2 linked regions of the Caenorhabditis elegans genome follow. The protein of the gene in region 2 purifies or fractionates together with the protein of the main gene of each other region. This does not show direct contact. Each region holds a gene or a part of one and is shown on either strand. Other genes may lie near its edges. The genes, in order: dbd-2 and wrt-2.

Region 1 (2,918 bases), on a different chromosome or scaffold from region 2:
GAAGTTATGCCCATCTTGAGGTTCATAGATGTAGATCAAACACAAACAGCCGAGCCTCTATCTCTCTTATTCTCCGTGAGCAACTTTCCGTTTTAAGTGCACGCGATTACCTATGTAGGCGCATGTGAAGCCTTATTGTACTACAGTGTGAGCCGCCCCGACAAACACTCGACTCAACAGCTTTTTCCTTCAAATTGTCAAAACAAAACAATACGAGAAAGAAGGCGAGACGTGAAACTTGGGAAAGTTATGTTGTTAGTTGCTGTAGCTTGGGTAAAGTAGTGATTGAGTACTGTATGATTACTGTAGTTTTGGAAAATGGGGGAATTTTGTAGGACATTGCGGAAACATGGAACTAGGTCCTAAATCCGGGCTTTCTACCGGAAATTTTGAGTTTGAAATTTCATAAACTATATTTTCTATTTCACCTGGAAAACTGGGCCCTGTAACGACAATTATGTCTGAGATCGTGGCGAGACCCACTTGGAAAAACATCATGTGCCTTTGAACTGGCAATTCCAGAACTCCGGACAAGCCAATCAAAAGACAAAATAGCTTGGAAAACTGTTAACTTTATCATCAAGTTGATCTTTATTCCATATTATTAAATACACGTTTCATAATATAAAGAAAATTTCAATTATTATATTTCCATTTAGAGCTTCTTGAATGGCTCGTTCTTGTCCAAATGGTTGTAGAAGCAATCACGGATCTCGTTGAAGTTCTCGGTACAGAAAGCATAGTCCAAATAGTTGGATGGAGCTCCCTTATGAGCGGTACAGTACTTGAGGCATTCTCCAGAGACACCGGCCTTCTTGCAGCAGTCCTCGTGGTTGTGACGGAGGGAAGCACAATCCCACATTTCTCCGACAGTTGGTCCACGCTCTCCGCAAGTCGACATGAAGTTCAGAATCTGAAATAAGAACGTGTAATGGTTATTTCTAGTAAGCTGACTAAATACATCAGAATTGACGCGCAACTAGCTCTCAGGAGACAACTTACGTTAGCTTGAGAAAGAGCATTGAAGTCACAGAATCGATCGACGCACTCCTTATCGGCATCCTTCAACGTGGCACAGCATAGCTTCAGCTTCTCATTTGGAGTAGCAGCAAGAGCAAGAAGTGGGAGAGCCAGGAGAATTGCGAAGCGGTTCATTCTAGAATTAATTACTATGAATATAGATATGTTAACTTTGAAAAATAAAAGAAAACTGCAACAGGTGGAAGATCGAAGAAATGAAGAATACACAGCCTATCGGTGTCAAGGCCCGGACTATTTAAAGGGTCACCCGGAAGACTCCACCTCTGACATATTGAGGTCAGGCTGTGATAATAAAAGAGATAAGATATCACTCCCTATCATAACAATCCTATTTCCTAGAACACCAGTCACCATTGTACTTTTATCGGATTTTTTGAGGCCGGTCAATGTTGCGAAAGATGAATTGCATGTAATAATGTATAGACTCTGTTATAAGAAGAAACATATAGAAAATATATATTTATTTTCTAGAAGAGATAGTTGGTGATAAAGTGAGAAAGAGGACACACACAGCCGTTTAATGGATTATTGCAGGTCAGGTCAGAAAGAGAAAAGTGGTTGGTACGAGAATTAGTTGTCATTGAAAAAGAGGTGATTAGTCATTTTTGAATCCATTTGCAATCAGAAGAGATAATGAAATGGCGACACCGAAGCAGATTCCAACAACGGCGAACATCCATGAGATTTGGATAAGTTGAAGACGCTCCGGTTTTTTGGAATTTTTTTCGGATTTTTCGATCTGTAAGTTGTGTCTTTTGTGGAACATTTTTTTGTGTTACAAATGTTGAATTGAAAAATTTGTGACGTTAAAGTTAGTCTTAATTTTTGTAGAATTTTTTGCTTGAAAATTTTAATAAAACATGTTCTTTTTACCTTAAAAATTCTAGTTTTTTTTCTCAAATTTGATGCAAAAAATTGCAATTCAGGTGCTTTGAACATTCAACAAAATTCTGAAAATTAAGAAAAAAATTCTCAAAAAATATTCAAACTTCTTGTGCGCGGGAATTCAAGTTTAAAACATTTTTAAACTCATTTTTCTCACTGTTTACCGAAACTATTAGTTTTACAAATGAGATATTATGTTTTGGATCACTAACTTTTTTAGAAACTTTTCCCCCTTTTCCACACTTCTTTAATACTAAATTATCAATTTTTGTTGCCAATAATTGAAATAAAAATAAATTAATCATTTAATCTCCAGTGATTTGGCCTATATTGCCCGTAGGAGTAAACTACATACGGACTGCTGGTTCATGTGATTCGCAACATGATATGGTATGATCTTCGTAGAAATGTTCTTATTGCATAGGATATTCCAACTTTAGAACTTTAAATGCAAATTGAAAAATCTTACCATTTCAACTTCCCTATACCCATTTCTCTGCTCGCTTTCCAAATACAAAACTACGAATCCTGTGGCGATACACAAAATGGTCGGCACACTGGTCAGCACAATTTCCATTGTTGGCTCTGACCATGTCTTTCGATAATTGGCGGCAGCCACGTAGATTGCGGCCACTTAATTTGTATAAAAAGTTTGAATTCTAGTCATGGAAACTTACCAGCAAAAGTGTAGGAGAGAAGGCCAACAATTCGATGAGCCCAATTAAAAATTGAACGTTGTGAGTTGGAAGGTGGGCATCTGGAATAAATAAAAAGTATAAAATTTTGCTATTTTTTTACAAAAATAAATCTACCTCAACAAACTATTCAACGGCTGGGAGAATGCCAGAATAGTAGAAATCGTTCCAAAATCCGTGTGCCATTGTGTCCAGTACCATGCTTCAGATCCAGTACCTTTCCAGGTCCAATTTGTTGAAATTAAAATGCACAAAATCGAGGTTACAATACAACAAACACCAATAAAAGTTGAGGCT
Region 2 (4,706 bases):
TTTCGTCCGATTCTGCGATGCTTTCAACATCCCAATCATCACTTTGGTTGACGTTCCCGGTTTCTTGCCAGGTAAATTTTCCCGATTGAAAGTATTTCAAATATTAAATCAAATATCTTTTCAGGAACTGCCCAAGAGTACGGAGGTATCATCCGTCACGGAGCCAAACTTCTCTACGCTTTTGCCGAGGCCACCGTTCCAAAGATTACCATCATTACTCGCAAAGCCTTCGGAGGAGCTTACGATGTCATGTCATCAAAGCATCTTCGTGGAGACATCAACTACGCCTGGCCAACTGCTGAGGTTGCTGTGATGGGAGCCAAGGGTGCAGTCTCCATTCTTTTCCGTAATGATAAGGAGCACGCCGTTCAACACGAGGAGGAATACACTGAGCTGTTCAGCAACCCGTTCCCAGCCGCTGTCAGAGGATTCGTCGACGACATTATCATTCCATCAGAGACCAGAAAGAAGGTGTGCGAGGATTTGAACATGCTTGAAAGCAAGAAGTTGAAGAACCCATGGAAGAAGCACGGAAACATTCCACTCTAAATTTCCAGCACTACCCACTCCGCCTTAATCCATACTATTATGTTGCCATTTCACCGGCCTGCTCGGTATTTGACGTGTTTACTTGTGAATTTTCATCCCACATACAAAATGCGCCATTTGCGTATTCCAATTGTTCGAGTATTATTTCCTTTTTCCGTTTTTTTGTTTTGTAAAGTCATAATTGAAAATTGTATTTATTACTGTTCTCAGATAAATAGTAGATTTTTGTGTTATTAGTACGAGCTTTCGAAATGGGACAAATGAAATCATATGTGATAATTGAGGCTAGCTAGTTGGCGCTTTTAGAGGACTCCGAAAAATTTGGCAACACTGGTTAGAATGGCACGCTGGACTGGTGGGATGACCTGCTCAACATCTTCTACGCTTGGAATTTGAAGCTTTGGAAGATCCTCAAGTTTTGGGAGGGTCATTGGTGGAAGTGTAGATGTCATTTGAACCGGCATTTGTGGAAGAGCACCAATTGGCATTTGTGGAACTCCTGCTGCTGCTGCTACTCCTGGCTGAGCGACAACTTGTGGAGCTTGGAACATCATTGGTTGTGGGAACTGTGGGAGTGGGGCAAATCCAAGTTGTTGCTGTGGCTGAGCTGGTTGCTGCTGTTGCTGTGGTTGTGCTTGTTGTTGCTGCTGCTGCTGCTGCATCTGTTGTTGTTGCTGCTGCTGGTTAGCATAAACTGGAAAATGGGATATATCTCATTGTGATTCTGAAATTAGGCGATGCTAACCTTGTTGCTGGAATGCTTGGTGCTGTTGTTGAAGCATTGCGGCAAATGGGTCTTGGTAGTATTGTGGCTGAGGTTGCTGTTGAGCATATTGTGGATATCCAGAATCTAAAACATGCAATCTATATTAACCATAATTGATTGTTCTATACTCACATTGTCCATTTTGTGCGACTCCGTACGCTTGTTGAGAAAATTGTCCGTAGTTTGTGGCTGGATTCACAACTCCCGGGTAAGCGACTTGAGCTGGCTGTTGGACTTGTTGTTGTTGTGGAGCATATGGTTGAATGTTAAGTGGAGCTCCCTGTTGTGGAACTGTGACTGATGGTTGGTGAGTGACAACAGAAGAAGCTGTTGGGGTGGTTGCTGGTTGTTCAACAACGGCGGCGGCCTCGACGATTGTGTTCTGAAATTACTCCAAATAAATAGTGTATCATCCAAATTAATCGGAAATATTTGAGCATTTGCCTGAAAAGTTCTCACTTCTCGTTTCTTGTTCTCCACAGCTTGCTCTTCGTCGAAGCATGGCATTCGCTTGATAGAAGCAACGTAAACAACGCTTAAATTGAATTAAATTGGTCTTAGTTTCGAGAGGGAATAAAACTCACGTTCCATTTTCGGAAACACTCTTGCTCAAATTCGAGATGTAATCAAAAGCAACAAGTCTAGAACCATCCAAAACCTCTCCTCCAACTACCAATTGTCCTTGCTTAACAATAGCGTTTCCGCGATCCTCTGCGCTGATAAGAACTTGATAACTGCAGCATTTCATCTAAACGATGTTTGGAAGATTAATTAAATTGTCATTTCACTTTTCATTTTCAACATACCTCCAGTTGGTCAGCGAATGGATCCGATTGTGGTGAAAGCCCTCCAACCCACTCTCCCTCCTCGCATGTTTTTGATTTGTATTCATCAGTGCAAATCTGAAACAAAGTACACCGTTTTTTTTTGCAAATACATATAAATGACAAACCGCAAGTTGTGGAACAAAGTTTGGATTTTTGCTTGGGCTCTTGATGAATTGATCGGATCTTCTGAGGTATCCATCATCCTTTCCAGCAACTCTATAGAATTGAGCAGTTTCTCCAGCTCTTGTTCCATTTGCAGTCCATCCGAAGCATTTTGGTCTTGCACACCCAAGAACAGGGTAGCCAGATCTTAGTACCTAAAGTGAACATTTAGTATATGTACAGTTACAAATCATGGGCTTTATTAGTTTTCTGTTCTTTAAAAATCAAGGAGTTGCTCACTTGGAAAGTGTATGGAATAGCTGATTGTCCACAGTAGGAGGCAAGGGCCACTGGCACTAAAGCCAAAAGGAATATGATCGGCGTATGCATCCGAGAAACAATTGGCAGGTTGATTGTCAATGAGAAGCGATTTGAACTACAATGAAAAGCTGGGCGTGGAAGGGACAATGGCCGTCTCGACAACGACAAGAAAATAAGGTCATCAAAATGTCTTTTTGCTGCTTTTCCTCTATATCTCCCGTATTGTTACGCGCGCGCGGATCGGTTGTCCCTCCTTCTCCTCTCCAGATTCCTCGAGATAAGGCAAGTGAAAGTCAGATCTACAACACCGGGAGTGAAGCCGTAGGGGGGGGGGGGGGGGGGCCCAAAAGGCATATTCTCGTATCGGTTTCTATCAGTGCAACACTTTCACTTGCCGTATGTTTGTCACCAATAATCCGGATCGCGAATCAGTTTTTTCGGTGGCTACCCAATTTTCATCAAGCTATTGTTTTATTCAAGAAAAATGGAATCGGTGTGGATCTAGCCATGCGGTTAACGGAAGACGATTTATGACCGGCTATTCCACGCGTATGTGGAGCTAGATTTGTAGCTTGTTTGAAATTCCTACACTATTCGAACAAGTTATGTTCATTTTACTTTACAGAGTCTGATAAGAATTGAAAACCAAGAATAAATAAACATCCCCCCTCCCCTAATTTTACTTTTTCTACGTTACCATGTTTAGTGGTTAGATCGGTTTATAATTCTCTTATAAACCTTCACAGTTACCTCTTAAAATGTTAAATTTTGTTCTGAAGTTTTCCAAAATAGATTGCGGCCTATCAATTTTACCTTTAAATCGAGTGATGAAAAAAAATGCGCTGTTAAAACAATTCTTACATGAAATAGTTTTAAATAAGATATAAGTACAGGGTGGTCCATAATTATGGACCACCCTGTATAAATGAGTCAAAAAATGTATATAAGAGTAAAATGTAAAACATAAAGTGAGATATAAACGGAATAACATTATAGAAGTTGTTTTTATTAGATTTAAATCGTGTTACACCCCTTTTTTATTAAAAGTTGCCAAAGTGTGTTCTTCAGAAAACACACCATTTGCATGTCAGATTCTTAAGTTGACCAGTTCAATGCAAACATTCAGTCAAAATTTCTACAAATGTGTAACCAAGAAGTCAGTTCCGTGAAATTTTTGTGAGCATTTGAAAATACGTGAAATAAAAGTCACCAAGCAAGACATTTATTTTTCAAAAAAGCAAGCATTACTACTATTTTCGAATGGGGAACACCCGTAAATTTATATTACAGACATCAGTAATGTAACGAAGTTCACCTATTACAGAATAGATAAATAAATATATTACAAAGCATGGTTCAGTAAGTATTAGAGTTCTGATAAATTAAAACTAAATTTTAAATGAATTAAAACAACAAAATTCAATAAAATTATTCGTCGTAATATTAGTGTTGTTGAGCAATTTCTGAGAAGAACTGAAGTACAGTGTCAGTGGAAACTTCGAGCTCAATCTTCGAGCCTGGGTAACAAGTGAGAATCAGTTTGTTGTATTCCGCAATTTGCTTGACAAATTGCTCTTGCATATCTCTCCATACAACTTGCAAAAGTGATGAATTGGCAACCAGGTTCTTCTCAATTTTCTTGTACAGTTGCTCGAGTCCTTTTTTCACTTCTTTTCCCGGATGTTGTGAAATTACCTGGAAAATTTATGAAATGGCGATTTTGATGATTAACTAGAAATTCAACCTTTTTAAGCTCAATGCGACTGAATTGTTGTTGATACGAGATTTCATCAGGACGAATTCCACGCGTTTCGATAAAGTTGTTGACATTGTCGAAGAACGTCTGAAATTTTTGGAATACATATCGATAGTTTTGGGAGATTTTTGTTTAAAGGTGGAGTACCGAAATTCGAATGAGATGTTTTGAAAATTCCTCAAAAAAAGTTATGGAGGTTCAAAGTCGGAAAAAAGGTTTTGCAGCTAAAATCACAATTTTTACAACTTCTCGGTGTCGCAGCGTCTGGAACTTAATTTTTATTTATTGATCACTCTTTAATAAATTTGTTGGTCTTTTATTGGGCGTATATGCGCTGAATTGTTGGGTCTAAAATAGCAAAGCCTCAAATTTTGGTACTCCAACT

What was found.
Region 1: the proteins of wrt-2 (region 2) and dbd-2 fractionate together in Caenorhabditis elegans (co-fractionation; one large-scale study listed by BioGRID). This does not show direct contact.

What each region holds. Positions count from the first base shown.
Region 1 is NC_003280.10:4,561,188-4,564,105, reverse strand, and holds dbd-2 (DB domain-containing protein), read right to left. Parts: upstream 1,157-2,918; 5' UTR 1,156-1,156; coding exon 1,003-1,155; intron 914-1,002; coding exon 656-913; 3' UTR 646-655; downstream 1-645. Other genes in the region: M03A1.8 (ascorbate ferrireductase (transmembrane)), read right to left, coding at 1,637-1,780, 2,396-2,559, 2,604-2,683, 2,739-2,918.
Region 2 is NC_003284.9:3,091,663-3,096,368, forward strand, and holds wrt-2 (WaRThog (hedgehog-like family)), read right to left. Parts: upstream 2,688-4,706; 5' UTR 2,635-2,687; coding exon 2,545-2,634; intron 2,460-2,544; coding exon 2,268-2,459; intron 2,218-2,267; coding exon 2,122-2,217; intron 2,064-2,121; coding exon 1,900-2,063; intron 1,851-1,899; coding exon 1,775-1,850; intron 1,698-1,774; coding exon 1,448-1,697; intron 1,400-1,447; coding exon 1,295-1,399; intron 1,244-1,294; coding exon 852-1,243; 3' UTR 733-851; downstream 1-732. Other genes in the region: pccb-1 (Propionyl-CoA carboxylase beta chain, mitochondrial), read left to right, coding at 1-71, 125-549; sec-3 (Exocyst complex component 1), read right to left, coding at 4,009-4,260, 4,310-4,408.